4 linked regions of the Rhinolophus ferrumequinum genome follow. The protein of the gene in region 3 interacts with the protein of the main gene of each other region in a pairwise test. Links are inferred from orthologs where the notes say so. Each region holds a gene or a part of one and is shown on either strand. Other genes may lie near its edges.

Region 1 (7,378 bases), on a different chromosome or scaffold from region 3:
CCGTAGCAAAAAAACAGAGGTTTTCTCCCCAGACAGCTGAAAGCTCTGAAAAAACTTAAACTGTGAGGTTCTATAGTCCTCTTTACTCCCAAAGATCTGCCTCAGAGCGTCCAGGCACTGCTCCACAGTCATGGAGTCATTGTTAGCCAGGAGCATCCTCATGATGGACAGGGCAGGGCCCCGTAGGCTCTCCAGCAAACGGCGCCTCTGTTCTACCATAGACACTTGCCACACCTTCATAATCTCAGTGACGTGCTCTAGCCAGACTTCAAAGTTCTCTTCACCTGAGCCTGGGAAAGTATTTCCCGAAAACACTTTAAGTTTTCGGTACCACATGGTTTCTTTCAGAGGCTGAATAACTGCCAGTTTGAACTGGGAAGAACCCTCTGGCTCCACGCTCTCAGTGACACTGCTATACCCCAGGATTTTGGCCACATCTGCCATTTTCCGGCCCTCATCCTTCAGGAAGTAGTTCAGTCTAGCGATGAAATCGTCATCTGAGTTACGGGGTTTCACCACCACTTCCCAGGCACCTCCCTTTCCTGGTATCTCACTGGGTATCGTAGTGAAATTGACAAAGTCAGCCAATTCAATGAAGATGGCCTTAGCATTGTCTTCCCTTCTGAACATTCTGCCCAGCACCCTGTAGGCGCACAGGGGCTGTAAGCCTGCCTTCACGGTCTCTTTAATTTCCATCTCACTACACTCCACGGGGATCCCCACAATCAGCAAGGCCTTCCTAGGGTCCAGGTCCATCCCCTTGCACCAATCCTCTAACAGTGTCACAGCGGCCATTGCTTCCACTTTCTATGAACTGATCTAATACTAGGGGTAGTAATCTGCTCAGAGTTTGACCACAGCTCAGTGAATTCTGAGCCAATGCCAAGCACAAAGGCAGAAGTGTCCGAGGTTTCCACAGCCTGTAATGCAATTGGGGTGAAAGCATCATTATCGCCAAGTCCCCTCTATCAAGAGCCCCTTCTCTTCCCCCACTTCCACTCACAGGAATTCAGTCCCTGCTTCCCAGGGCTCCCCTAGTCATTTGGTGGAGTATAGACTGTAGAGGGGCCTCCCAGTCCAAGCTCCCCCCACCTCATGCCCTCCCTGCTGACCTCCTCCTGCTGTGGGTTCCTTCTCAAATTCCAAGGACTCTGCTGCAGGTGCTGCAGGTGCCTGTAGTAAAAAGGCCAGCGTCAGGAGGCACGGCCTGATGACTGGGGACACTGAGAAAGCCCTCTAAGCAAGAGAGGACAGAACGTTCCACTCCCTGGCTCAGGGCTGTTCAGGCCTCAGGCACCTGGCACCTCTTTGCCAGGGCAAAGGGAGGAGGAGGGAGATGCAGAGTTCCCCTCTTTCTCAGAAAATGCCCGACAGATGAGAAAGATGGCTGGAGTTCTGCGCAATGCAATGAAACTGGTGGGTGTGGAGAGCCTGTGACAAGCTGCAGTGTTGCCATGGATACTGAGAACAGCGTGGACCATGGGTTTCTATCGCAGACTGGTGTCATGTGGTAAGGTTAAGGCCCTCCAGGAGCAACAGGTGATGTCACTGGCCTCCAACCAATGTAGTGTCCCAGCAACAAGGGGGGGTTCGGGGGAGGGAAGATGGGGGTGGGCAGCAAGGATGGAATGCTAAAAAATCAAGAGCTTATGATTTTAAAATGTGTGGGAGCTGGAATCGGGCAGAAAGGGGACCCAGAAAAGGTCACCAGTGCCACACTTCAGGAGACAGACAGCTCTCTGTCTAGGTATGACCCTACCCTGCAGAGTCTGTACATCTTGGCAGGCAGCCCCTCCCCCTCCTGATCTTTGCCAGGGTTACAGAGGCTCCTCCCAACACAGGCCCTCCTCACCACCACTCACCTTGCTGAGTAGGCCCCTCTGCTGGTGTGGATACAGGGATGCCCCAGGCACTCAACACTCAGTCAACTCTCCAGCTGTCCACAGTCAGGCAGTTCCTGGCCCCAGGGTGTATGGGGGGGGTACTGTTCCACTGGACCTGTCCCCAAGACAAGGCAGAGGTATTTTGATAGGGTTCTGCCCCACGTGCCCCTGCTCAGGCTGTGCCAATTCTAAGTTTGCAGAGCTGGCCACAGGTACCCTGGTGCAGAGATACAAGAAACTTGTCACTGGGGTCCACTGTTATAGCAGGAGGAATCCCACTTTAAGATTATTGTCCCCACCCTCAATTTCATACCCCCACTCATACCCACCTACTGCCAAGTCACACTCCTTTCCAAGGCTTACCCCCACTGTAGCTCAACCTCTGATCCAAGCCCCCCCACCAAGCCCCACTCCTACCCAATCCCAACCCGACACCAAGCCCCGCCCCTCCCCAAGCCCAACCCCTGACGCCAAGCCCCGCCCCCACCCAAGCCCAACCCCTGACACCAAGCTCCACCCCTACAGCTCAATCCAAGCCCTGCCCCCCACCTAAACCCAACTCCTATTCCTATTCTCATTCCCCTAAACTCCCCTCCCCCACACTAAACCCCCTTCCCTAAAACCTCCACCCGTTACACACCCCCTACCTCAAACACCCCCCATTCTGTAGTAGGAATACATCTGGTCAGTTGATGTTGGCGGGGGCCAGGAGAGGAAGGGCTGAAGCCACTTTCCTTCCAGAGCAAGGCCGAGAGCCATTTGTTCTGGATATGCAGACTGCAATGGCTCTGGGCAGGGTTAGGCATGGAATCAGTTCCTCTGCAGTTCCCAGGCTGGTTGCTATGGCCTGTAAATGGCAGGGAGCCCGCGGGGTGCCAAGCCTGATCTAGTAGGATCCCATTTCCAGGGGGCCCCCTGTGATGCCAAGGAAGACGGCAAGGGCCACTGGGGACAACGTCCTGCGGTTTGGGTTGCTCAGGGCCCCACTCCTTACCTACTGGAGATGTCTGCAGGCCAGACGCCAGAAAACCACAGCCACCACGCTTCTGTAGCCCCGGTGCACACTGGGCCAGGAGTTAGGGGGAGGAGGCTATAAAATAAGAAACCCTGGCGCCCCCAACAGGGGCACACGGCCTGCTTGTCCCTGCGCCATCGCAGAATGGTACCCTCCTCCCCCTTCGAAAGGGGGTGCTCCTTGTCTCAGCCCTTGTTCCTCTCCCGATGCACTTGGCGGAGGTGGGGACAGAGAGTTCAAATCAAGCTGCGGGGGAGTGTACATTGCAGTGCAGAGCTGGACTGCTCCGGCCTTGGGTTATCTCCAAAGAGACCACCAGGCCTGCCACGTGGAACGCCAGGCCCAGGAGCCATTGTGGCTCTTGTTACATTGTCTCTTCTGTACTCTACCCGAGCTGTGCGGTAACAATCACCAGTGCCCCTCCTCAAATTTGAAAATTGCAAGTCATCACAGGGCCGGGTGCAAAACTAAAGCCCCAGAGGGTGCTTTCTAAAGAAAAGTCCTGATCCCTGTTTATTTTTTCTTCCGCTGTGTTCTAATGGAGCATGGCAACAATACAGCTGCTCCCTGTATTTCCCAAGGGCATGGAAATTTTTGGAGTTCACCAAGAGACAGAGAAGGATTCAAGGATTCCATTCTCCCATTATTCTCTTGACTTTATGAGCAAGTGGATTTACCCATTACCCACCTAATAGTCAAACTGCTTCCTGCCCTTTTCGAAAGGTTTCTTCCACTCAGGGAACATTTGCCCTGGGGCCTTCAGGACCCAAATGCGCTGTTCAACAATGGGCGTTAGGGGGCTACAGGTAGCACAATGGAAAGTGGTCTTGATAACAATGCATGTTTGCATCAGGAGGATGGGGTGAGTGAGAGTCTGTGTTTCTCGAAAGCTGGGTGACTCCAATGCTACAGATCTCTGACTAGGCTTTGAGTACCAAGGCTCTAAAGCCTGTAATTACTTTTCAGATCCAGAAATTATGCGCCTTTGGTGAAAAAATAGATTTCTTTTCCTTTATTAGGGATACAAGTGAACAGGCTGTCCTATAATGCTTTAATAAAAATATTTAAAGGAAATAAAATTTTAAATGAAAGGTTACTGAGCAACATGTTTGTTCCCCTTCAACGACATTTGTTTGCTATGTCTGAGAAGGCCTCAATAGGCCTTACATAATAAGAACACACTATTAAGAGTCTGTTAACTCTATCTCCCATGCCAAGAAAAGATGGTTACCTGGTGCTGTCAGAGAGTCGACCCCAGGTGGGACATTTTACCTGAGGGTTCTCATCATACCAGATCACTGTGGTTCCATGAAACCACCACTGAGCCACTTGGTATTATAGGTATTACAAGGTATCACAAAGGGTGATAATCATGGAAAGAGGTGTGCTGGCCCTGTGATCCTGGGAGGTTAAGAAATACCCCTGAAAACATACATTATATTAGCTTCAGGTGTACTACATGATGCTTCAATTTTTGTATATATTGCAAAATGATCACCCCAATAAGTCTAGTTAACATCCATCATCACACATAGTTACAATTTTTGTTCTTGTGATGAGAAATTTTAAGATTGACTCTCTTAGCAACTTTCAAATAAGCAATATGGTATTATTAAGTATAGTCACCATGCTGTACATTACATTGCCAGGATTATTTATTTTATATGTATGTTTTTGTGTATGTATGTGTATGTACTATTTCAAAGTGAACTTATTCTGACAAAACTTTATTTTAACAGTAATTATATTTCATATGTAGTATGTCAGCCCTAAAGGTTTCAAGATCTTTAGGTAACTTAAAACCTTATACTAAATTAAGTATATAAGGTATGCAGGATGTGTTTTTGTTAAGGACAACGACTAATTTTGTCCTAAAGTAAAATGACTGGCTGTTCCAGAATGACAAAGACGAAAGCGTAGGACTATGGATGAAAAAAGGGGTCCTATGGAAAGGAACTTCACAGGGTGATGTGATCATAAATTCCTAATTGGACAGGCCATGGTGGGTAGTCAGTCATGCCTTAGGCCTGTAACTTCTTCAGTTTTTTTTTTTTACAAATAAATTTGCATCTCTTTTATTTTCCCAATTATAACTTACTCGCTGACATACCTAATGTTAGGAAATAGGTGTCTGTCTTGAAACTTCTCACTTCATAATTGTCCATGAATTGGCTTATTCAGACCTGATGGAATTTTTTCTTTTTCTTTTTAGTGCCTAAAAGCCAGAGAGAATTAGTCCCAGGGCATTCCAGTCTATTTCCTTACCATGGCATCACTATTAAATGGTGCCGGTATCTGGAAGAAAGAGGTCTCTGCTGAAGAACAATTGTGCCCAAACAGGAATCTAAAAAAACTTCTTTAGTTTTTAAGCAAGCCCTGTCCGTTTTTCTTGTGCATCTAGGTCAACACACCTTTGAAATACCCCCTTTCAGACTCCTCAGAAGCAAAACCACACTCAAGAGAGCACATAATCTTATTTCCTCTCCTGTAATCCAATCTTGGCCTTGCTTCCTCCCACCCCCATGTAATCTTCCTTAGTTCCCTCCTTAATTTCAAATGCATAAAAGAAGCTGCAACATTGTTAGTCTCTGGAGCATTTAAGATCTTTCTTCCTGGCATATGTTGTCAGATTGGCTCAAACAAATTCTTATAAAAATTATCTACAGGTTTGGACATTTTTTATGCCAACAGGACAAAACTTGAATCAAAATGAAAGTTGTAGAAGGTTCGTAGAAAATAAATTTTATTTCTTGTGGTCATAACTGGCTAAAGTTCAATGGGTTTATTTATGAGCTATTTTAAAATGAGCTGTAATATTAAGCAGTACACTGATGCGAAACTAGAATTTGATTTTCCTTGTTAAAATGAGAAAAAAAACTTAGATTATTGGTAGGCTCTTAGTAAGAGGCTGTAAAAGGTTTTGCTTTGCTATATATATGCATTTATATATATTATATATATATAGATAGAATATATATATATATATATATATATATATATATATATATAATACAGCGTATTTCTCCAGGGCCCATCAGCTCCAAGTCGTTGTCCTTCAATCTAGTTTTGGAGGGCACAGCTCAGCTCCAAGTCCAGTCGCCGTTTTCAATCTTTAGTTGCAGGGGGCGCAGCCCACCATCCCATGCGGGAATTGAACCGGCAACCTTGTTGTTGAGAGCTCGCGCTCTAACCAACTGAGCCATCCAGCCACCCCTCTGGAAGCTCAGCAGCAGCTTCTTGTCTTCAATCTAGTTGTGGAGGGCGCAGCTGACTGGCCCATGTGGGAATCGAACTGGCAACCCTGTTGTTCAGAGCTCGTGCTCTAACCAGCTGAGCCATCCAGCCACCCAAGGTTTTGTTTTGTTTTGCTTTGCTTTCTGAGTAATCAGCCTAGAAAGCAAAGATTCTGTGTCTTAGAATAATTTACTGTCCTTCATGTTGACTTTATCATGTCATTAATTGCTTGAGAACCAAACCTTTTCAGTTTTGAAAGAACTAAGGTTCTTTTCAGTTGCGTTACTTCCTATCTTTTCTTTTAAAATGTTTTGTCACTTTGGTTAAATGGAAAGCCAAGGAGTGTTTCTCATTGACACATGATATTATTTAGCCAAGTGTTCAAACCTCCCAACAACTTTGATATTTTGCCTTCCTAAACTCAAATCCTAATTGATGTATTCTTGATCTCGACCTTCTTTGAGGGACCCTGGAAAATCACAGGTGTTAGAAATAATTAGGTTTATTTGATATATTGAATTGCATGGGAGGCTTTGTCAATCAGAAGAGATGCCTAACCCTCCCTAAGTTAAATTCGTGTGGGCAAAATGTTATTAATATAAATATTTCACTATTACATTGTTTTGTACAGCTGAAACTAATTTTAAAAATAAAAATAAAAAAATATTTCAGAAATTGTATGAAGTTCCTAGAGATTTGCCAATACCGTCACTGTCCAGAATATGTCCTGGTTCTGCTTTGCCTGATATTAAACAACAGTATAGCATTATCAATCATAATTCTAGTTATCTTTTAAAATGTTGCATGCCACAAAGTGGCTCCATAGTCATGGATAGTGCCTTGGACTTCTAAAGTGTTGCATGCCACAGAAACAACCAAATTTGTCAATTGCATGATTTTTGTAATGAACTCTCATCAGATCTTTAACCATGGGCATTTTAAGTCATTCACAGATAATTTTTTGTTTTACACTGAATCTTCCCTGAAAGTGCTTGCAATCAACTACAGGCCGGAATGCTTCATCTTCAAGAAAAAGTGACTGTCTCAGATCCCCATGGAAAGGGCTATTCCAGGTGCTCTGGGGGCACAAGCTTCTGATGGCATTGCTTCAATAGCTTTGAGATCCTACCACTGGACTGAGCCAGAATTTCCAGAATTCTAGTGAAGAAGCTGATGGGTTCATGAGACTGTTAACCCAAGACTGAGCAGAACAAGAATTACATAGGGGTTTTGAGCATTCTTATTT
Region 2 (7,259 bases), on a different chromosome or scaffold from region 3:
GTAAGGGGAATCCAGCTGATGAGGTTGTAAAGTCATAGATAATAAATTCATAGATAATTCCAAGCTTGGGTAAAAGTAGCCTACTGCCAGGGCTTACAACTGTAATACGTAAAGCTTTCTACCACAAATATTTTCACATTTTTATTCTCATAGTTACAAATCAACAGCCTTTGGCATTATTAGAACAAATCTTTTAGTGTTACAGAGAAGTTCTCTGCCCTTCTTAGCAAGTGGAGAAACAATAACCCAACTTTTTCATAAGTTACAGAATAAGCATTATTTTGTGGTAAAACAGTCGCTCATTTTTCAATCTAACAAGATGTAATAAGTGACTCAGAGCTTTGGGTTCTCAGCCGTTGTCTCGCCGTTCATTATGTGTTCGCTGAGGCTTTAGAACCTCTAACTCTGGCTATGTTTTCCAGCCGGGGCTGTTAAAGAAAGGGGGTTTCTACCGCCGTTTCCAAGAACCCAGCAAGAGAGGAACTGTATTTTAGATGGGTAAACCAGCCGAGGTGGGTTTCAATTCACGTGAGTGGCTGCAGAGCCAGTGTCCCTTCCCCTCTCACTTGGGATTCTAACATTCCCTCTGTGACGCGGAGAGGACAGGCTGGGGACAGGCACCCGGGCCTCGGCCCTGCCGCGGGTGGCAGAAGCAGCGCGCAGCGGGCGGGTAGCCTGGGCGTGAGCACGCAGGAGCCCGCCCTCCTGGGCAGGATCCCAGACGGGAGGCGGAGCCTGCGGCCGCGGGAACCCCAAGCCCGCCCCCTTCCCCACCCCTCAGTCTCTCGCCATGGCCTCTGCTCTGCTCCTGGTCCCTGCCGCTCTCGCCTCTTTCATCTTGGCCTTTGGCACCGGAGTGGAGTTCGTGCGTTTTACCTCCCTTCGGCCACTTCTTGGAGGGCTGCCGGAGTCTGGTGGTCCGGGTGAGCGGGAGGGCTGGAGGATGAGCTCTGGAGTAGGGAGGTGGGGCCGGAGGAGAGGGAGCGGGGGCGGGGCTTGTAGACGAATGACAGGGGAAGTCCGGGAGAGGGAACTGTAACCGAGAAAGCCTAGAGAAACTACAGGAGAGGCCTGCGGGCTAAATTAGGGACTCAGGGATTAGCGGTTTGGAGACGCGGGACAGTGAGGACTGAGGCGGAGGGAAAGGGCGATAAACAGAGTATGCTGAGGAAAGTGCTGTGTAGAGAAGACTATGGAGAAGAGAGTGTTAAAAAAAAAGGCGCTTTGGAGAAGCGAAATAAAGCGCAATCCAAGGGTGGCTTCTTGCATGCCGTTGTGACTACTCAGCAGAATCATCTTCCCCAGCTCTGAAGGAGGCCTGGGAAAGAGGGAAGGAACGGGGAATGGGAAAGTGAGGTGGGCAAAGCGTAAAGAGGAAACAGTAAGGCTCTTGAAAGCATTAAGGGACCTGGCCTGGGGCCCCAAGAGGAAGTGAAGGTAAGGGGTGTTTCCCACCATCTTGTTCTTTTGTCTCTTTCTCCAACTCCCCCTAGATGCCCGCCAGGGATGGCTGGCTGCCTTGCAGGACAGAAGCATTCTTGCCCCCCTGGCTTGGGATCTGGGGCTCCTGCTACTATTTGTGGGGCAGCACAGCCTCATGGCGACTGAGACAGTGAAGGCGTGGATGTCCCGGTACTTTGGGGTCCTTCAGAGGTCACTGTACGTGGCATGCACTGCCCTGGCCTTGCAGGTATGAGGCCCTGGCACTGAGTCCCCAAGGGAAACAGTCTGGGAATGATGATCTAAATGGCAGGGACAAGGACCTTTGGCTTCTGATAAAATGTGGAAGCATTTTGGAGGAGAACTGAGGGTATTCAAGACTAATCTCAGCTTCCATTCCTCCACAGCACAGACCCTATTTTTGAATCAAGAAGGATGTACTGCTTCTCATTCCCCAACTGTGCCATGTGCATTCTCACCTCTGCAACTTTGTCTGAGTTTAAGGTCCTCTCCTTGACCCCTCTTCCGCCCTACCCTTTCTTCTAAACCAAGGGAAGTCTTCCCACTGGGCACTCATCTGTCTTCTCAGTGGGTACCTGGCATAGGCTATTTTGTGCACCTCTCTAGTCACCCCCATCCGTTCTGTAAGTCCTTCTGGTAGAGACAGGTCATCTTACAAACTTGGGGCCCCACCCAGCACCCTCCACATGGTGACTGTTTCTTAGTGATGCTCATGGTAAAAGGTGGGGAGAGCGGCAGGCCAGCCGGGGGTGAGGCAGCTTCTCAGTCCTGGTCTCTCAAGGATGGGCTGCTGGGTCACCTAGCCCCTCATCCTTCCCCAGCTGGTGATGCGATACTGGGAGCCTGTTCCCAGAGGCCCCGTGTTGTGGGCAGCTCGGGCTGAGCCATGGGCCACCTGGGTGCCCCTCCTGTGCTTTGTGCTCCACGTCATTTCCTGGCTCCTCATCTTCAGCATCCTTCTCGTCTTTGACTACGCCGAGCTCATGGGCCTCAAACAGGTGAGGTTGCCAGATCCCGACTTGAGACCTCTGATCCTTTCTAGAATGCCTCTTTCCTTTCCAAGGATTTCCCCCCTCTCTTCCTCTCATGCTGTTCTACCTTCCTCTTGCTTTCAGCTCCCTTACCTCCCTTTCTTATAAGATAGTCTCCCCTCAGCCCTCCCTCAAAGGCTAAAAACCATGGGCCTCCTGGGCCTGTGGAAAGTTTGTGGCCCAGAGATGAGGGTCAGGGGCACAGGACTCAGAAGAGCGGTCCCTGGGCCTGAGTTATAGCAGGAGGGTGCCTGGAAGGGGAGGAAAAGGTGGCTAAGTTTCAAAAAGGGCTTGACTCCGTTTCTAAGCTGTTCTCTCTCTCCTAGGTGTACTACCATGTGCTGGGGCTGGGCGAGCCTCTGGCCCTCAAGTCTCCCCGGGCTTTGAGACTCTTCTCCCACCTGCGCCATCCAGTTTGTGTGGAGCTGCTGACAGTGCTATGGGTGGTGCCCACCCTCGGCACTGACCGCTTCCTCCTGGCTCTCCTCCTTACTCTGTACCTGGGCCTGGCTCACGGACTTGACCAGCAAGACCTCCGCTACCTCCGGGCCCAGCTGCAAAGAAAGCTCCACCTGCTCTCCCGGCCCCAGGACGGGGAGGCCAAATGAGGAGCTAACTCTGGTTCCAAGCCGTGTACTTCCTCCCCCCCTCAGAATTCAAATTCCTTGATATCCAGGCCCTGGCTGCTTTAGACTAGAGGCTTAAATCTGTGGACTGAAGGAGGACCTGTCCTGTCCACTCCCGTCCCTGGGTCCATCTCCATACCTTAAATTCTGAGTCTCAGCCACTGGACTCCAAGGTGCACTTCTCACCAGCAAGGGAGAAGGGTGGGGAACTTACTGGTCTCCTCACAGATTGGGGGGGCTTGACATCCCCCTCACCAACCTCAAAAGGAGAAGAGTCCAGCCTGACTACTCCCCTGGCACAGTTACTGCCTCTGCACTTCCAGGATCATCTCCAAGTCTCACTTCCCCTCCTAGGAGCTGCAAGTTTGAATAGTGGCTGTCCCTCCAGGATCCCCACTGGCTGGCCTCTCCACCTCCTTAGGCCCCGCCCCCGGGTTCTGTACTTGAACCTACTAGGGAGGACTCTCCTGCTCAAAATTTCGGGTGACTAAGGGCCCCCCTGTTCACCCGAGGAACACGCAATGGAGGAAAATAAATTTCAGCTGGGTTTTTCTACACATAGTGCGCATTTTGTCAGTCTCAAACTTGCAGGGCTGAGTTTGGGAAGGAAGCGAGTCCTGAGCCTGGGAGCGTCAAAGTCTAGTCTGGGCAGCCAAGGGCGGCGGCCACTCCCGTGGACCCACCCCCACCTTCCCGGAGCATCCTAGTCCCGCTTCCTCCACATTCCCCAATTTCCCCGAAGCAGACCTTGGGACCCATGGGAGACGAAAGCATAAAAGAGGGGGCAGCGTCTCCGGCAGGAAAACGAGCTTCCAAAGCTATTGGCCTCCGAGCGCCTCTCCTCCCCACCGGCCCCCCACTGCCTGGCGGCGGCCCGGGACCCCGTAGCAACAAAGGCGGGCCCGGGAGGCCAAAGTGTGGGGAGGAGCGGCAAGAGATGGGAAGGGCGGGCCCCGCTCCGAGCAGCTGCTGCTTCCTCCCCAAGTCCCTCGAGGGGCCTGAGTCACGGGCCGCCGCCCTGGGTCGGCGGTCTGGGGGTGGGTGTCTGGACACCTGGGTTCTCCAGGGCTACCGGACGTAAGCGGGGTGAGGGACCCTGGGGACCGAGAGCTGAGAGCCAGGGGTGGCGGCGGGAAAAGGGGAGCCGGGATCCGAGTCCCACGGAGGGCCGGTGGGAGCGAGGCCCCGCCCCCTCCTCGGGCTCCGCCCCGCGCCCCCTTCCCTCTCCCCATTGTCCTCAGACAAAGCGGTCACCGCCCCCCGCCCGGCCCCCAGGTTTCTGTCTCCGTCCCTCCTCCTCGGCTCCCTCTTTCACTCCTCCTCCTCCCCCTCTTCCCCTCCCTCCTGTCTCCGGATCTCCCTCGATCCCTCTCTCCTCCTCTTCCTCTCGCCTCTCTCCGGACGCCAGGCTTCTCCGCACCCCCTCCCCTGGGAGCCCCGCTGCGTGTGAGTTGACAGAGGCGCTTCGGACTTGGTGAGGGGCTGTCTCTCCGCTCCGGTCCCTGGTCCGGACCTTGGGCTGATTCCTCTTTGTGCTGAGATTGTCTGTCCATGCGACTAGAGCTGGGCAGGGATGGCTGGCAATGTCATGGTTCCATGAGAGCCGAGACCCTGGCTCAGGACGCGAAGGCTCAGGAGAGAAGAGGCGTTGAGCTGGTCCGCCGCGCTCCTGGGTCCGGGGCAAAGCCGGTGGGAGAGGCAGGCAGTGGTGACGCGCCGGGGTGGGGGTGGACGTTAGGGCTCTGGGAACGCGCTGGCAGACCCGGCGCCCGGGTTCAGAAAGTCCCCGGGGGAGGGTATTTCCCCTGGCCCGCCCTGGGGCGGAGAGGTGGGGGAGCCGGGAGGCGGAGCCCAAGCACAACTGGAAGGGGAGCCCGGATTTCGGGGGCCCGCGCCAAGACGCGCGAGGGTGCACCCGCGGAGCTCCCTTTCCCCTCTGAACCCCGTTTCCCCTGCTCCCCTAGACCTCCCCACTCACCGTCCCTCCTCACCTCCCCGACACCCACTCGGGTCCGGTTGCCCCCTCACCGGCGGGATTCCCTGACCTCCCTCCCCACTCTCACTGCCCCCAGGGGTAGCGGTGAGGCCACCTCGCTTGAACCTGTCCCGCCTCACCCGCTGCCTCTCTTCTCTCTTCTCCCTCACACCAACTTCTTTTCTCGCCCTTTTCTCTTCTTACATCCTTGGGACTGTCTCTGACACCCATTAACCCTGTACTGCCAAATCTGACTCCTGCCCCTTTGCTCCGAATCTCCACTCTTCCTCTGCTTCACCCCCTCCCCGCCCCCATCAACTTGGCCCATAGCTTTTTCTTGGTTTTCCCCTTTCTCTCTCTTGCCTCTTCTTCTTTCCCTCTGTCCTCACTCTCAGCTCCCCTGTCCTTCTCTGTGTCCCACTTCCCCCTTCACTTCCTCCCCCCCCACCCCCAGTCTCACCCCCTGAGCCGTCTGGAGCCTCTCCTTCCTGTTCTCTGCCCCCAGTGCTCCCCACCCTCACCTCCAGGAGACCATGGCCACCATCCCGGACTGGAAACTACAGCTGCTAGCCCGGCGCCGGCAGGAGGAGGCAGCAGTTCGGGGCAGGGAGAAGGCGGAGCGGGAGCGCCTATCCCAGATGCCAGCCTGGAAGCGGGGGCTCCTGGAACGCCGTCGGGCTAAGCTTGGTCTGTCTCCTGGGGAATCGAGTCCTGTCTCTGGGAATGCAGAGGCTGGACCTCCAGACCCAGACAAGTCTGCCGTCCTGCTGGAGGCCATCGGGCCAGTGCACCAGAACCGATTCATTCGGCTGGAGCGGCAGCAGCAGCAGCAGCAGCAGCAGCAGCAGCAGCAGCGGAGTGAAGAGCTTACAGAGAGAAGGCCTGGGCCCTTAGAGGCCCGGGAGTGGAGAACCAGTCCTGGGAACATGCGGGATCCAAGCCCCAAGGGAAAAGAGTCGAGGGAAGAGCGGCTCAGTCCCAGGGAAGCCAGAGAGAGGAGGCTGGGCATAGGGGGAACCCAGGAACCGAGCCCCAGGCCTTCAGAAGCTCAGGAGTGGGGACAGGGCCCAGCAGAGGCTGCAGACAGGATCTCCATGCTGTCAGAAGCACGGAAATGGAGGCTGAGCCCCGGAGAAACGCCAGAGCGGAATCTGGGACTGGCAGAGCCTCGAGAACAAAGCCCCAGGAGAAAAGAGGTGGTGGAAAGTAGACTGAGCCCAGCAGAGTCTGACAACCAGAAGTTGGACCTGACAGAGGCCCATAAATGGAGGCCTGACTCCAGAGAGTCTCAGGAACAAAGTTCGATACAACCAGAGACATCAGAATGGAAGCTGAGCTCAGGAGAAGAAAGAAAAGACTGCTCAGAGGAATGTGGGAGGAAAGAGAGGCCAGTTCCAAGGACGGCCCCAGAAGAGAGTCCAGGGCTGTCAGAGACGCTGACCAGGGGCACTCCAGAAACCAGCTCTGGAGGAGTGCAGGCCGCAGAGCAGAGGCCCAGCCCCATGGAGGATGGTGAGAGGGGCTTGAGGCTGGCAGAAGGGTGGAAATGGACCGTGCACTCTGGGAAGGTTCGAGAATGGACACCCAGGGACACAGAGACTCAAACTCAGAGGCCAGACCCTCCAGAGTCTGCTGAGAAGCACCTGAGGCCTCTTGGTGCAAAGGCTGGAGAAGGGGAGGCTGAAAAGGAGGAGGCGGAGGCTCCGGGCAGGTCTCTGAGCACCCTGCAGAACCTCCGTTTTGTGCCCTCCCCCCTTCCACCAGAGGACGCTGGGACTAGAGGCTCTAGACAGCAGGAAGAGGAAGCAGTGGAACTCTGGCCCCCACCCACAGCCCCTCTGTCTCCCCCACCCCCAGCCCCACCTGCTCCCCAGTCCCCTGGGGATCCCCTCATGAGCCGCCTGTTTTATGGGGTGAAGGCAGGGCCAGGGGTGGGGGCCCCCCGCCGCAGTGGACACACCTTCACAGTCAACCCCAGGAGGTCCGTGCCCCCTGCAGCCCCTGCCACGGCAGCCACAGCTGACACTGCAGTCCCTGGGGCTGGGAAGAAGCGGTACCCGACTGCTGAGGAGATCTTGGTTCTGGGGGGCTACCTCCGCCTCAGCCGCAGCTGCCTTGTCAAGGGGTCCCCTGAAAGGCACCACAAACAGGTAGGGAGCAGCCAAG
Region 3 (7,815 bases):
TGGCAGCATAGATTAATATAAGGTAATTTTATGTAACTGAAAACAATGAAAAACAGAAAAAAAATAAAATGAGTCCCATTCTAGATACTAGTCCTATTCTATTTAGAGAGAAAGTGAAATAGCATGTTTAAAGTTTGGCTGTAAAGGGGGAAAGTTTTAATAACTAGGATCTATTCTTTTTACTATGGCTATACTGTAGTAACATCAGTATGTTACTACATACTGATATATTTTATATCAGCATATATTTTATAAATGCTCTTCACCCACTGAAATAAAGCCTAGATGATACTTCTCTTTGATAATAATTTTTTTCCATAATTTTAAGAAAGTGCGGTCACTAAGCATTCATTCATATCACACATCAAGAAGAAACAAAGGAAACCCCTGTGTTCCCAGTATTATTGCCAGGCACCTCACATATTTCATTTCTGGTAATATCGATAAAAATCAGTGATTAAATTTCCTGAAACATCAAAGCTGTCTTCTTTGAATACAACATTCAAGAAAATGAGAAAGAGAAAAGCATAAGAGTTGAATGTCAGCACAGCCTGTTTAAATGTAAAAAGCTTATTTTCAGTATCAGTTTCTCTTTCTATCCCCAAAGGAGAGTGGACCACCTGAGAGAATTGCGATTAGCCTGGATTTGCAGATGTTGGAATTGATGGTTGCCGTTTTCTCACCGCCTCCTTCCTGCACTCTGTTATCCCAACACCCATTCCAAACCATCCTGCTTAATTTAGGCCGGATTGACATTCCTAAAATACCAGTGCAACATAGTGGAAATAGCTCCGGAGCCAGACAGACATTGTTTGAAATCCTGGCTTCAGCACTTACTCTCTCCGCAGCTTTAAATAAATCATTTCATGTTTCTGCATATCAGATTCCTTCATGTGTAAGAGGAAGACACTAGGCAAAACGAAAATTCATTTGATTGCACGACTTTCAAAATTGTACTCATGTATGTAAATTATGTTGCACATAGGAAACATGATCATGTGTTGGCAAGATGACGACAATGGAGGTGATGATTACTAAGGAGGCGGAGGAGGAAAGGGACACAAGACTCCATCTCTTCAGAAATTTACAATCGCCCCCATTGTATCATACAGAGGACAAAATCACTCTGTGCATTTTCAGATGCTCCACGATTTTGTCTGCTCTTTCCATGGAGCTCAATGTCTGCTTCTCACAAAGGGGTGTTTTTTCTGCCTCAATGAGGCAGGGAACCCATCTCTCCTTCTCTGCTCTGTCTTAATTGATGCCTCGACACCCTTTGCTCCAACTACTACAAAGTAGAAGAGTCTTTTTGCTTCCCAGCAACTACCCAAGTTCCACTGATTTTTCATGGCTAAGTTCAGAAAGCCAGACTTTTCTTTCAAGCCTTCTCTAAAATCTTTTTAAAAAGGGAATTTTTGAAGATTTTCACATTATGGCAGAATCCAATTGACCTTGTAATATCAGCATAAGAGGCAGGATACTTCTTCAACTAGAAGTGGCCTGAGATCATTTTCAATTTTAAAGAATTACTGCCATTATGTTTGTGACTCTAATAATTGGATGAAACCCTCGTAAATTGCGAGACCACACCCATAGTGAGGCACCAAGAAGCTCTGTCCCAGTGATCAATCAGTTACTGAATCCAATGAAAACAAATGAAGACTGCAAGACAGAAACCATTACATGATCTGTTATTTCACAAGAAAACTATTTGTAACGTTTTGAATGAAAAGTAATTCATATCAAACATTTCTTTCTAGATATCATTCACATACACACACTGATATTTTAAATTGATATTGCAACATCACACAAAGCATAAATATATTGTATCACTAGCTTTTCGAGATTTCTTTGTAATCTAATGCTTATGTCAAAATATGGATAAAAATGAGAATTCAAGAACATTTAATGTAGACGTGAGGATATTTGACTATAAAATAACAACAAAACATTTAATCAGAAGTCGTAACAACACCCTATCCCACAAAATATCAGCAAAAGGGTGTTTACATGATTTTACAAAGTAGAAAAATTAGTGTTGATGTAAATGAAAATATCAAGAAATAGCGTTGTGTATTTCAATACCATATGTTACTTACATGTTTCTAATTATGTTTTTAAGAACATCTTCCTTATATTTCTATTTAATAGACACCCACTCAACATTCATTTTATAATTTATCTTTGCAGGAAACATAAGCAAATACTGCCCAATGGTTTCCAGAGATCCCTTTTTCTTCAGCTCTATAAGCACTGTCTATAGAGTTAAGCATCCGTTTCCTTTTTATTATGCACAGGATCTCATTATTTTATTCTATGTCCCTATCTCCTTCCCACCACCCAGGTAATTTATATAAAGAAATCAATATTACTGCTAAGTCTGAAGTATGCTTTTCAGTTAACAATGACAGGAATTCAGCATGAAAACAACTCTAAGTACATGAAGCGTAACGTATGAGGGTTTGCATAACAATTTTACTTTGTTTTTACTCTAACAATATAGATTACTTCAAGCACATAACTTATATCCACTTGGAACTACCAAACAAGGTTTTAATACCCACATATCATATTGCTGTCTTAATTTAGAGTGAAATTCTTACCTGAATTTTGTTTAGTATACAGTTTTTTTTAAAAGACAGGAAATGTATGACAAGCTGTCAGGATACATAATGCCAACAGTGGGAAATGGAAGAGGGAGGGAAGAAATCAAATCCACTTTTAGCAGAAACTCCAAATCCCCCTGTTTCCCAGACCTACAGTAGTTTTGTTCTGCATCTTACAAGTAACTGTCCTTCTCTCTGCTCCGAGAACAACACATGCTCTGCCCCAGCAGGAAAATATAAAAATTAAGTAGAAAACCACAAGGTTATTAAGCATCTTACCCTCTGGGCTTGCTGGGCTGTTCTAGCGGCTCAGTGTTACAGACACATGCATAAACAACAGAATTTCCTGCATCCTTTTCTCATCTGTGGAGCTCTGGGGTCCTGGCCAACAGGATTATTTCCAGCATTAAGGCCACTCCACACTAACTCGAACAAGATTCCCATTGGTTGTGAAGTTTTATCAAAACCAATACCACAACACCCTCTGTGGATCACAAGTGAGCTAACCAAAATGAAATCATTTCAGCGTTCCCTAACAAAGTATGGTTAGCCAACATGTTGCATACAACCCATTGGAAACGATGTACTGTGGATAAAAAAGAAAACACCCGCCCCTTCATCCACAAATTTGTTCAGTGTTTAATAACAATAGGCATAGCTTGTAATAGTAATAGAAACAGGAAAATGGCAGAGCAAAAAAAAAACCTAAAAAAGTTTCTATCTGCCACGATCCCAAAATCACAGGAACAAAAGAAAATATCATCGTTTTTATCATGATTTTTTCTATACTGCCCCCCCTAAAAAAGAAAAAAAAAATTTAATGAAACATTTAATAAAACCTCTGATTTCAGTCATGCTGGCAGGATCTGGAAGCTCCACAGCCCCCAGCCAGAGCTGTCTGGCCCCTTTCCTTGGGGGGAAAACACGGACTGACTTCCCAGTGACATGACACAGCTGTCAGGAAGTGTTCTGATGGAGGAGTGATGGTAGACCACATAAAAGACAGCTTCTCTGGTTGAAACGAACAGCACCGAATGCGCAAAGAAGAGAGGACAGAAGAGACACAATCACTACACTCCTTGTTAATAGCATGAGAGCAGCATGTGAAAGTCAGGGAGCTCATGTCTTAAAATTAGTGTATGCCTCCTCCCTTCTCAATTTGGAGGATTATTCTTAGCTGAACAACGTTTGCATCATCTCTTTCGGCTTCACAGCATCCTTTCCTCCTTCCTCTGGAGAGGGAGACCCCTCTGCAGGAGAAAGTGAATCCACTGAGGATTCCTGTCCCCCGTCTTCTCAGGGAATATGATCACCCACCATTCTCTCTCCTTTCTTTGAACTCTCCCTTTTGTCTGGATGTTCCCATGATATTTTAAACACCATAAATTCTTCAATTTCATTTATGTCAATCAATTTCACTTTCAATTCGCTCATTTTCCTTGTAGCAACCATTCTCCCTCCTCTCCAAATTATTCAAAGAGCTCTCTCCAACTAAGCATCCATACTAAGGCCACCTACTCCCTTTAAGGCGGCAACGTGACTGTCTCTGGAAACACACCCGTGCACACACAAACGCACGCACGCACGCACGCACGTGCATATTTTGCACAGCGTCCTCTCAGTCCTCACTCTACTTGCCATCTACACAGCCTCTGATGCTGTTCACAATCCTGCTGACATGAAGATTCTGTTCTCTGATCTGAGCACGACACCCTCCAGGTCTTCCTGCTGATCACTGCCACTGCCTCCCCCGCTCCCTGGGGTGTTGCCTCTCTTCCCTCCAACCCCTGGCGTCTATCAGGTATGCTCTCATGTAAATGTGTTATCTCCCTGGATAATGGCACCCATTATCATGGTTACAATGATCATCTTTCTTGGCTGAGGACTCCAAATTATCAACATTTGGATCCAATCCTCTTCTGAGTCTCCAACACTCATGTGCATCAGCACACTAGAAAATACCACACATATGTCATCAACATACTTAAAACTGAAATCATCGTTTCTCTGTGAACTTGCTGTGTTGTTTATCTGAATAATGCCAACCAGGCTTATGGTTTACTAACAAAAATCCTGGAAGCCTTCCTTGACTCCTTTTCGATTCTGTATCCAACCCAGCATCACTGCCTTTTGATTTTCCTTCAATACTATGCCCAGTTCAGGCAACCGTCATAATCTGGATTTCTATGTCCTCCTAATTTATCCACCTGCCCTCATGCTAGTCCCTCTACATCTTCAGCAAGAGTGACGGTGGTCTGTTTCTAGTACTCATGCAAATTCAGATCTCTGAAGATTTTAACCCCTTATCAAATCTCTTCTTCACAATGTATTTGCCAGAATTCAACGGTTCTGGATTATTTTTTCTGTCTTGTGGACCATGCCATGTACTTACCCCGTCCTTTATTACTTCCCTTTCCTTTCAAGGTGCAATACCAACAAGTAACAATCGCTGGTCCTAGTGTCACCCCACATCCTTTGTCAGGGTGACCCCATGTGTTTTGTGCCTTCTTTTGTCATACGCATTGTTGCAGGTTCAATTGCAAACCCTAAAAAGCCCTGGTGCCTGTGTATGTGACCTTATTTGGAAATAGGGTCTTTGCAGATGTAACCCAGTTAAAATGAAGTCACAGTGAATAAGGGTGGGCTTTAACCCAATGGTTGGTGTCCTCACAAGAAGAGGGAAATTTAGATCCAGAAACACAGAAAAGGACACCGTGGGAAGATATAGGTAGAGATTGGAGTGATACGTATACAAACCAGGGATTGCTGGGAACCACCACAATCCAGGAAGAGGCCAGGAAGGTTTCTCTCTCTTTTAGAGGTTATGGTCCCACTGACCACTTGATTTGGGAGTACTAGTATCCAGAACTGTGAGACAATAAATACCTGTTGTTTTAATCACCAAGTTTGTGGTGATTCGTTATGGAACACTAGCAAATACAGTAATATACATAAAATTCCCAAATATATATGGCCAGCCCAAAACAGTTTATCAAGCTTTGGATCTGTATTTGTAACAGTCTAATGAGAACATTCACAGGGAGCCATTTGAATCATTAATAATCTTCAAAAGCGAAATCTCATATTTCTTCCAAAACCTTTACTTGTATTCTCAACCTTAAGTAGCGATACTACCATCCATCCAGGCTCTCAAGCTAGCAACCTTTTTGTTATTCCTGAGCCCTCACACCTTTTTATCCTTCAAATATAATAGCTTGCTTTTATATGTAGTAAAACCTGAAAGAATTGTCTGTTTCTCTGTCTTCATTTCCTTCCATCTCTTGAACCTACACCAATCAGATTTTTGTTTCACCACATCAATTTTTTACAGGCAAGTGTATAAATCACTGAGCAGGAAAATCGGGATATATATATGGAGAACACTGTCTCAACAGAAGCTTTGCCAAATTAAGGTTCTGTTTCACCCCCACAACCCCACTTTCTTAGGGTCAGAAAGTAGAGTAGGTGTCTTGCTTTGTCCTTGTTGCTAAGTCTGGATCACCAATGCTGTTTACCGACAGTGTGGGACCTACCAGTGTCATGGAAACAAAGCGATCCAGTGTCTCCATCTTAGTTCAGAGTACACTGCCACCATGGTCACTCACTCTCTCTTTCTCTGCCCACCCCCTTTTACACACACACACACACACACACACACACACACACACACACAGGTACAAACCTCTTCATTACCTTAACACTACATATCCCATAACAAGTAATAGGAGCATAAGGAAAAGAGAACAGAAAATTCAGCCTTGGAGTTCTCATAACTTGTTGGCAAGTTGCCAGCATCACAAGGCACTGAACACACATCAATATGGGCTGATTTTTGTGTGCATGTGTGGATTCCAATTTCATTGTACATCTCAAGTTCTCCCTGTGAATTCTACTGTTTGCTAACCTGGAATAATTTCTCTGCCTCCTCCCCACAAAAATAAATTGTATTTTTATTTGGGACAACAATATGACAGTTAAAAAAAAAAAAAGCTTATACTATTATACCAAGACTCCGATGACAAATACACTTAGCTCCATGGCACAGTTTTGCTGGTGATACATAAGTGGAAGCCTAATGAGCATTTGTGGAAAGTTCTGTCTTCCTGATATGGATGCCACCACATTGTTTCACTTTTTTCTTCTTCCTCCTCCTTGAACAAGGCTGGGAGGCTGAAGATAGAGAAGAATTCCTTAACTGATTGTAGGGTCACGATTCAGATGGAAACCACACTGGGAAAGGCAGGAGGAGCCAGGACCATGGTTGCCAGCAGGCTTTTCGTGATGTGAGGAAAAGACAACTTGATCTGGTTACACCACTGTCATCACATTTCTCTTGTGGCCTTACTTATTAGATTGGGACCTACAGGCCAACAGAAAGTTGTAATAGTATCTAACTGCAGAAACAATGGGGAATACATATTAATCAGAACTGATGTTACCCCAGATCCTTTTCCATCGTTCCAGAAGAAACTATGTGAAATTGCAAACTCCCACAGCAAACCTGACCCAGTTTGACAGCTATCTCTCACCATGTCTATGAGGCTTTTCCTGATTCCCACAGAAAGAGTGAATACTACAGCCAAAGGTTATAGCTGTGTACTTATTTACACGTCTGTTTCCTTAACAAACTGAATTTCTTAAGGAGATAATATTGTATCTTTCTTTGAATGTTTTGCAAATAAGCCAAAAAACTAATGGATAAGTGAATAAGGTATAAATGGATAAAGAGATGGATGAATGGCCATTCTATGAAAGCAGTAGAGAAAACAAAATTAATGAGAGCAATCTTGAATTGCACAAATTGCAGAAAAAATAAACTAGAAAGGTATACCTTTAAAACATTGAATGGTGATTTTGACATCTATAGTGATTTTAAAATTTCTACTAATTTTTGTCCTACTTTTATAAATTGAAAAAATTAATAGCACCAATACCACACATGTGTGCCTCACTGACAAAATAAGAAAAACAGAAATACGGACAAAGTAAGACAGACAGATTTTCTGTGGCCTTAACTACTTGAATCAGTTGTACCGTTAAATCTTAATTGCAACAATTTCAATGGCTTTAACAATATTTGGAGAATTATTCTAAAGCAGCATATAACTATTGTAGCCATTACTTTAAAAAGTAGTTATGTAGAACTAACTACAATATCTACAAAATAGCTTAAAAGCATATTTTCATATTCTAAAAATGAAAATTA
Region 4 (7,173 bases), on a different chromosome or scaffold from region 3:
GTCAATTGACTGTTTTGGCAGCAGAAAGGCTAATAAAGCAGCATTAGGGCCCATGGTTACTTTAAGGGTTACTGGTGATAGGCTGAGTTCAGAAAGACATGCGGACAAGGATTCCTGGCACACAGTAGGTGCTCAATAACTGATTGAAAAACACAAAACAATTGCAACAGAATCAGAAATGTTCTGCAAACCGCACAGTGTCACACAAACATCGGCCACCACTATTATCCCTAAGCTGGGTCTTAAAAGATAAGTTAACATCTGACAGAAACTAACAGAAGTAGAGGCAACGTTTATTTCAAGTTAGAAGTACCCACAGGAGCAAGTGTAGTAAGGTGCACCCAGCCCACATGTTCAGACAGGGTAAGGCACTGGTCCACAATCAGAGACGATTTGCCTCCAGGGGACATTTGGCAATGTCTGGAGACATTTTTGGTGGTCACACATTGGGAGAGGATGCTATGGGCCTCTAGTGGGGACAGGCCAGGGATGCTGCTACACATCCTACAATACACAGGACAGTCCCCACAACAAGGAATTAACATGGTCAAGATGCCAACAGAGTCAAGGTTGAGAAACTCTGGGGTAGGGCAGGGAAGCCAAGTTCAAAATGAGGTTTTGGAGGAACAGACAGTGAGCAGACCTTAGAGGGCCTGCTATGCTCAGGGGACAGACTTTATTATCTACGTCTGTATTCCCTGATATGTGACCGTCAGGCCAGACTCAGACTGCTCCACTGTGCCGCTCACACATCCAGACTCGGGGGTGAGGGGGTGGATCCTAAGAGCTGTATGTTTTCCAAGCTCCCAGCTGATTCTCTGGCACATTCAAATTCATGATGGCTTTGAGACGTGTAAAGAAGTTAGACCTGACAGGATATGGGAGAGCTGAGCAGAGAGACCTGTTAGGAAGGACTGGAAAATGCCCCCAACAGCAAGCAAGTCAAGGAGGATCTGACCGACGGTAGAAGGAACTCAAAAAGATGATCTACTGAAGAGACGCTCATCTCCTACCATTCTTCCACCAAATCCCTCCACTCCAACCGTGTCAGCCTCCTTGTTTTCTAGAATAGTCATGGCTTGTTTCCTTCTCAGAGCCTTTGCACCTGCTGTTTCTCTGCCTGGAATGATCTCCCACCAATATCCACGACGTTTCCGCCCTTTTTCTTCAGATCTGTTCAAAGATCGTTTTATCAACAATGTCTTCCTTAAATATCCTAATATAAAATAGTAAGTCTCCATCCTTTACCTTGTTTTAATTTTCTCATAACACTCAACAACACCTAAGCATGGTTTGTTTTTGTCTGCTTTTCCCCAACTAAAATGTAAGAACCATGAGATCTTACCAGGGACTTTTGTCTATTTTGTTCACTGCTGTATCCTTAGTACCTTAAATCGTGCATTACACACTCCAAATGTCTAATAAATACTTAGTGAAAGAATAAAACAAATGAATGGACGTTAGGGACAAGAACTAATAGGATTTAGGTGAGCGGGAGGGCAGAAATAAAGTGCAGTACTCAAGCATGGACTCCAGCATTACAGAGGTTGGTTTCAGGACTACCGCTTGCTAAATGGCTGATCTTGGGCCAACAACAAGCCTCTCTGTGGCTGTCTTTTCATTAGTAAAATGAGAGAAATGAGTAATAGAACCTATCTCCTAGGCATGGATGGAAGAAAGCATTTGGCACTGGGCCTGATAAGCAGTCAGAGCTGAACAAACGTTAAGCTCTGGGTGGCACTGGTTTGGTGACCAGCTGAAGGAGGGAAAGATAGTTTTAGGTGGCCCTGCCGTTTCTTGTAAAGGGACTGGAAGTGGGGAAGAAGTCATTACACAGGCAAGGAAAGGGTAGGTGTGGGAGTGAAAAGGACCAAGGTAGGAACTGTGATTCAGCCACAGAGGTGGCCTAGGACAGGGGTACAATGTGTGGACTCCAGGGCCGTACTCTACTCACAAATCCCCATTCTTTCACTTACAAGCCATGTGGCCTCAGACAAGTTTACTTGCAGCCCTCTGTGCTTCAGTGTTCTCATCTTCAAAATGAGGATAACAATACTTACCTCCTAAGGCAATTGCGGGGCATAAATGAATCCGTTTACATAAACCACTCAGCACAATGTTTGGCATATAGCGAGTACTATGTAAGTGTAACCATTATGACAACATGGTAGTTAAGACCGTGGTTTTTGGTACAAGAGGGCCTGAAATGGATTTCTGGATACTATTAACTGGGTGACCTTGGGAAAGTTACAGCAAAATCTCTGTGCCTCCATTCTCTTCCGAAATTAAAATGACCATCACATCAGTGTGACACAACACAAGCTCAGGCAAAGTAATTTCTAGGCTCTCTGCGCTCCACCCTCCGCCTCTGCCTCCCCTTCCTAGCCCACAAGCACTGAGACCCGCTGAGAAACGTCCAAGCGAAAAGCGCCAGGCAAAAGTAATACACTGCCGACTCGACCATTACTGGCGAATTCCGCACCCCCACCCCCACCCCCATCCAAATGCCCACGTTCCACTCAAAAGACGCGAGCTACCATTCCGGCGTCCTCTGCGCCAAACCGGAAAACCCGCCAGTAGAGGCCCAGAGAGCCCGGGGGAGGAGCCGGGAAGAGGCGGGGCCTAGCGGCGACGTCGCGGCAGCCACGGAGATGCTAGCGTTTGCACCCGCGCCCCCTCACCAGTAGCAGCTGTTGTAGACACAGGCATCCCTTGGAGGGCTGGCCGGCTGGTAGCTGGCGGCTGCGGCGTCGGGGACATCCCCCTCCATGGTGGCTTGGGCCAGGGCACGGGCCTGAAGCGCGCCAACTGGTCCAGCCCCCCAGGCGCGCTTTGGGGACGAAGCTGGCGTGCAGCAGCCCGCACAGGCTCTCGAAGCGGAGTGGGCGGAGCCGGGGCAGCTGGTGCAGTTCCCGAGTGGTGGAGCCTGGCACGAGCACGCGGAATCTGGGCGGGGCGAGCGGCTCAGGTTCTTGGAGCTCTGGGTCCACAAGAGCGGGGCAAGTTCCGGTGGGTGGAGCTAGGGGCTGAAAGAGCGGGCCCAGGACGGCCCTGTGCAGGCGGAGCTGGTTCCGGTGGGCGGTGCCTGGGCGGGACGCGCAGGGCTAGTTACGGGAGGGTGGAGCCAGGGCAAAGTGGGCGGGTCTGGGGTTGGGTGAGCGGCTTAAGTTTCCCGCGGACTGAACTCCGGCGAGGACCGCGCGATTCCGGTAGAGGGGGCCGGGACCGGTGGAGCCAGGGCGGGGCGGTGCTGGCGGCGCGGGTTCCAGGTGGGGCGGGGCCGGGAGTGCTGGGGACGGCGGTACTAGCGAGGAGCCAGTCAGGTGGGGGAAAAGAGAGGTCACTAGCCGGCGACCTGAAAAGTCAAGGAAGAACGTCAAGTTGGTAAACCGCCGGACCCTGAACGGCGCCTCGTGACTCTCCAGGAGGAGGCTGAGACCCTTCTTCCAACGCGTGGTCGGGTTGCCAGCTGTGGAAGCACCAAATGAGATGTAGAAGACTCGACGTGTGCGAGTGAAATAAGAGACTTGTGTGTGAAAAATGAAGCTTCAGCACTTTGAGCCTAGTGCCCGCAGGATCCAGGGGGAATAAAGGGGGGGGGGGTGAGTTAAGTCCAAATACGTCTGCATCAAGGATGGTTTTAGCGAAAGGTATCACCCTAAAATCTCACCGTATTGTAACATTTTTAAAAAATAGAGAATTGTATATATTGGCTAAGAAAGATCTATGGATTCTTTGATATAGTAAGTAAAAAAAAAAGTTTAAAAAGAATCCACATGGTACCCATTGTGTTAGTCATGTTTATTTTGTTGCCAGCCTGGAAGGAAAGACACCAAATGGTTGAAATTGTTTATCTCTGGTGAATGAATGATAACGGAGGATTTTCACTTGATGCTTTATAGTCCTCTGAATTGTCTGTTATTTGCAAAGGGCATATATAGCTGATCAGGGTACTTTCCATTATCAAAACTGAAATTCTTGGTGTATAGGCGATCTATAGTCAGATTTGCCCAACTCGTGAATTCTAAAACCCCAAAATCCTAAAGACTGAGCATAAGTCCTTGGGTCAGTTGTCAATTTATTGCCTCTCAGCTCTGAATACACACTTCAGTATAGGCTCTAGACAAATAATTCCCTTAAGCATTTCTCCTTTAATGAGAGAATGGTGGTAAGCCTTCTCATTAAATCGTGTCGCAGGAAGAAGACTCCAGTTGCTGGGATGGTACAAAAGTTTGGAGTGGTCATGAGAATCATCATCCAGTGAGGTCTGCCCCAGCCACAGATCCTACTGGTCCCTCTGTGACTTTGCAACTTTAGCTTAACAATAACCTTTCTGCAGCCCTCTTGACACAAACCAGAGGCCAGGGAGGCCTGCAGGCAACTGCCTCCCATACTCCTTCAGCAAGCACTTCATGGCCTGCACAGTTACCTGTGGCTGGGGGGCTCACACACTGAGCATTCCGTCAATCGTCTTGGAGTCTCCCCTACTTCCCTAAGCCCCTCTATCCTTCCCCCACCACCACCCCAATGCATTCTGAAGGCCTTCTGCCCCTGCTGGCTCCCAGACTCCCAAGGCATCCCCGCATTGGTTGGTGATTGCTCCCTTCTACCACTTCTACCTTGCTTAAGGAAGTTGAATGTCAAGAACTATGATAAAAGTGTAACTATAAGATACAAGGAAACTTTCCATGGTACTTAGAGGGAAGAGTACTCAAGAAGAACAAATTTGAAAGGGGTTTGGACCTCATTGGACATGGTGTGGGTTGGTTACCAGATAGCAGAGGAGTTCACTGGTTTACCCAGGATGGGGGTGATCTGGAGTTGCTGGGAAAACAACAGAGAAAGGGTAGAGGAGAGCCAGCAGTCTCTGCCATAATGTGCTTTATGCTTTAAATTTTCTCTTATAAGAAGGAACTAGTTTTTAAATTGAAAAAAAAAAATAGATCGTATTTTAAAAACTCATATGATTTCATAGTAGAGACTATAAAAAGAGATATGGTCTCAGAGGAGTAGAGGTGCTTAGAACGAGATTCTAACCTACGGACTCCAATGAGGAAGAAATAAGAGATGCACTCCAAGAAGCCAATACCCAATGAAATCAAGATGTTAAAGGGCAAGGGTTTGGAGGAGGGACACATAAAGGAAAATATAAAAAATGCCCACAGATATGCAAGAGGAGTATCAGGAAGTCTACAGCACATAATACACAGGCTTACTAACAAACAGAGGTTTTATTTTTTATTGGGGGGGCGGTATTTGTAATGCTCAATACTAAGAACTACAAGAAAAAGGAAGAGAGAATCCCATTGCTTGGGATCATATGACATGATGTGTGATAAAACAACTGAAAGAAAACAAATAGCCAGTGACTGTTTTGCTCTATCAAAGAAAATGGACCTCGAGCTGTAAAGAATAAGGAAAATAGCAGTAAGAGGAAATTAAAGTCAAGGTAAGTACAGTGATAGGAAGCACTAAGTTGCCTTAAATGGGTTAAAAAAAAATCTTCAGATCCAGATAATTATATCCCAGCATCTGCAAGTGCTTTAGATTATGACCAAAGCCTTTCTTACGGATCTTTGAGAAAATACATTGGAGGAGGTGACCTGAGACTAAATATGAATACTTGCTGTCTTGAGTCACGTAAAAGGAAAGAATATGTGTTTCAGACACTAGACGCTAGTGAACTTGATGCCTATTGTGACCATGAAGAAAGGTGATTATTTAGGGGCCTTCAGTGGTTTACCAAAGTCTATTTCATGCCAAATGGACCTCACTTCAAGTTGTTGAAAGAATTAATTGATCGTTAGGATTATAGCACTAACAATAAAATTTGATTCCAGCAAAGCAGCTGGCCCAGTTTTATTAGTCATCACTCGTTACTTGTTCAGTTAAAAGTCAAGGCAGAAAGGCTATTTATTAGCTCATTTAACAGGACACTAAAGTAACTCTCACCGTCAAGGATGAGCTGCAGAAACCAGGGTCTCAAGGGATCAGGAGCAGAACTCACCTCCCAGGCCTTGTTTCTTCCTGTCTCAGTCTGCTCCTCAGTGTTTGGCTTCATTCTCAGGTCACTTCACTTCTTGCTGTGGGAGGATGGCTGCTGGCAGCCCCATATTCATATTTTCCAGGCGTGGCAATCCCAGTGGAAAGAAAACTTTTTCCTCATAGCAATCACACAGAGTGACTTGTACCTTTATTTTGTACATTTCTGTACTGCTGGAATTTTTCTCATTTTTAAGAATAAAAATTTTTTCTTATAGCAACATTAATATAAAGAGCTGTGGGGGCAGCCAACTGGTTCAGTTGGTTAGTGCGCAGTGCTCATACCACCAAAGTCGCCAGTTCGATTCCCACATGGGCCAGTGAGCTGTGCCCTCCACCAGATTGAAAACAACTTGATTTGGAGCTGAGCTGCGACTGAAAACAACTTGACTTGGAGCTGATGGGTCCTGGAAAAACACAGTGTTCCCCAATATTCCCCAATTAAAAAAAAGGAAAAAATATAAAGAGCTGTGTGGACAAACTGTTGCTCACTTAACTTTTTCCCTACTATTGTACAGTAGTTTGTTTTCAGATCCTAGCATTGTAAATAAAGCTGCAATCATCATCTTTATACATAAATCTTGGTCCATGACTGCTTATTATGTTAGGATGGAGTGCTAGAAGTAGAATTCCTGAGCCAAAGTTTTTAAATATTTTCCAGGTCTCTTGATACATGTTGTTATGTTGCTTTTAAGAAATGGGCCTATACTTCAACATCACATTGAGTATTATGGTTAAATATATATATATATATATATATATATATATATATGTCAGAAAACTGTCATTCCCATTGTTATTTTAATTTCCATTTATTTGATTACTACTTACCTATATTAAATGGGATAATTTCAGTATAAAGCACTAAGTGCTATGGCAGCAATGTACTATGGGAGTTCTGGGTGGAGAGCACCTCACCATTGGGAAAGGGGTATTGGGCTGGGTTGGAACACAATACAGTTATTACTCATCTTACTTAGAATGGGGTAGGAGGGAGGCAGTACTCCCAGAGCCCTCTGCATGGACCAGCCCATGCGTGTGGTATTAGGGAAGGCTGATAAAGCAGGAAAGTCTGAAAAGCACATCATAAAACCATGACATATCTTCCCCTCTCATTTTCTGTGCCTACAT

What was found.
Region 1: the proteins of CCDC102B (region 3) and PNMA5 interact in binary tests that used the Homo sapiens proteins (3 or more experiments, as listed by UniProt). The two-hybrid records come from large-scale screens. The link is inferred for Rhinolophus ferrumequinum from reciprocal best matches to the Homo sapiens genes CCDC102B and PNMA5.
Region 2: the proteins of CCDC102B (region 3) and PPP1R18 interact in binary tests that used the Homo sapiens proteins (3 or more experiments, as listed by UniProt). The two-hybrid records come from large-scale screens. The link is inferred for Rhinolophus ferrumequinum from reciprocal best matches to the Homo sapiens genes CCDC102B and PPP1R18.
Region 4: the proteins of CCDC102B (region 3) and NTAQ1 interact in binary tests that used the Homo sapiens proteins (3 or more experiments, as listed by UniProt). The two-hybrid records come from large-scale screens. The link is inferred for Rhinolophus ferrumequinum from reciprocal best matches to the Homo sapiens genes CCDC102B and NTAQ1.

The regions. Positions count from the first base shown.
Region 1 is NC_046284.1:7,195,733-7,203,110, forward strand, and holds the start of PNMA5 (paraneoplastic antigen-like protein 5), read right to left. Parts: upstream 3,012-7,378; 5' UTR 2,878-3,011; intron 2,224-2,877; exon of another isoform or gene 2,213-2,223; intron 1,999-2,212; 5' UTR 1,863-1,998; intron 1,399-1,862; exon of another isoform or gene 1,174-1,398; 5' UTR 1,113-1,173; intron 921-1,112; 5' UTR 796-920; coding exon 1-795.
Region 2 is NC_046286.1:1,291,056-1,298,314, reverse strand, and holds the start of PPP1R18 (phostensin), read left to right. Parts: upstream 1-4,254; 5' UTR 4,255-4,592; intron 4,593-5,488; 5' UTR 5,489-5,626; coding exon 5,627-7,243; intron 7,244-7,259. Other genes in the region: NRM (nurim), read left to right, coding at 791-923, 1,494-1,690, 2,283-2,459, 2,819-3,100.
Region 3 is NC_046302.1:53,807,443-53,815,257, reverse strand, and holds the start of CCDC102B (coiled-coil domain-containing protein 102B), read right to left. Parts: upstream 3,008-7,815; 5' UTR 2,889-3,007; intron 1-2,888. UniProt on the Homo sapiens protein: During interphase, forms fibers at the proximal ends of centrioles to maintain centrosome cohesion. During mitosis, dissociates from the centrosome following phosphorylation to allow centrosome separation. Contributes to CROCC/rootletin filament formation.
Region 4 is NC_046297.1:60,733,253-60,740,425, reverse strand, and holds the start of NTAQ1 (protein N-terminal glutamine amidohydrolase), read right to left. Parts: upstream 3,008-7,173; 5' UTR 2,771-3,007; coding exon 2,682-2,770; intron 2,675-2,681; exon of another isoform or gene 2,538-2,674; intron 1-2,537. UniProt on the Homo sapiens protein: Mediates the side-chain deamidation of N-terminal glutamine residues to glutamate, an important step in N-end rule pathway of protein degradation.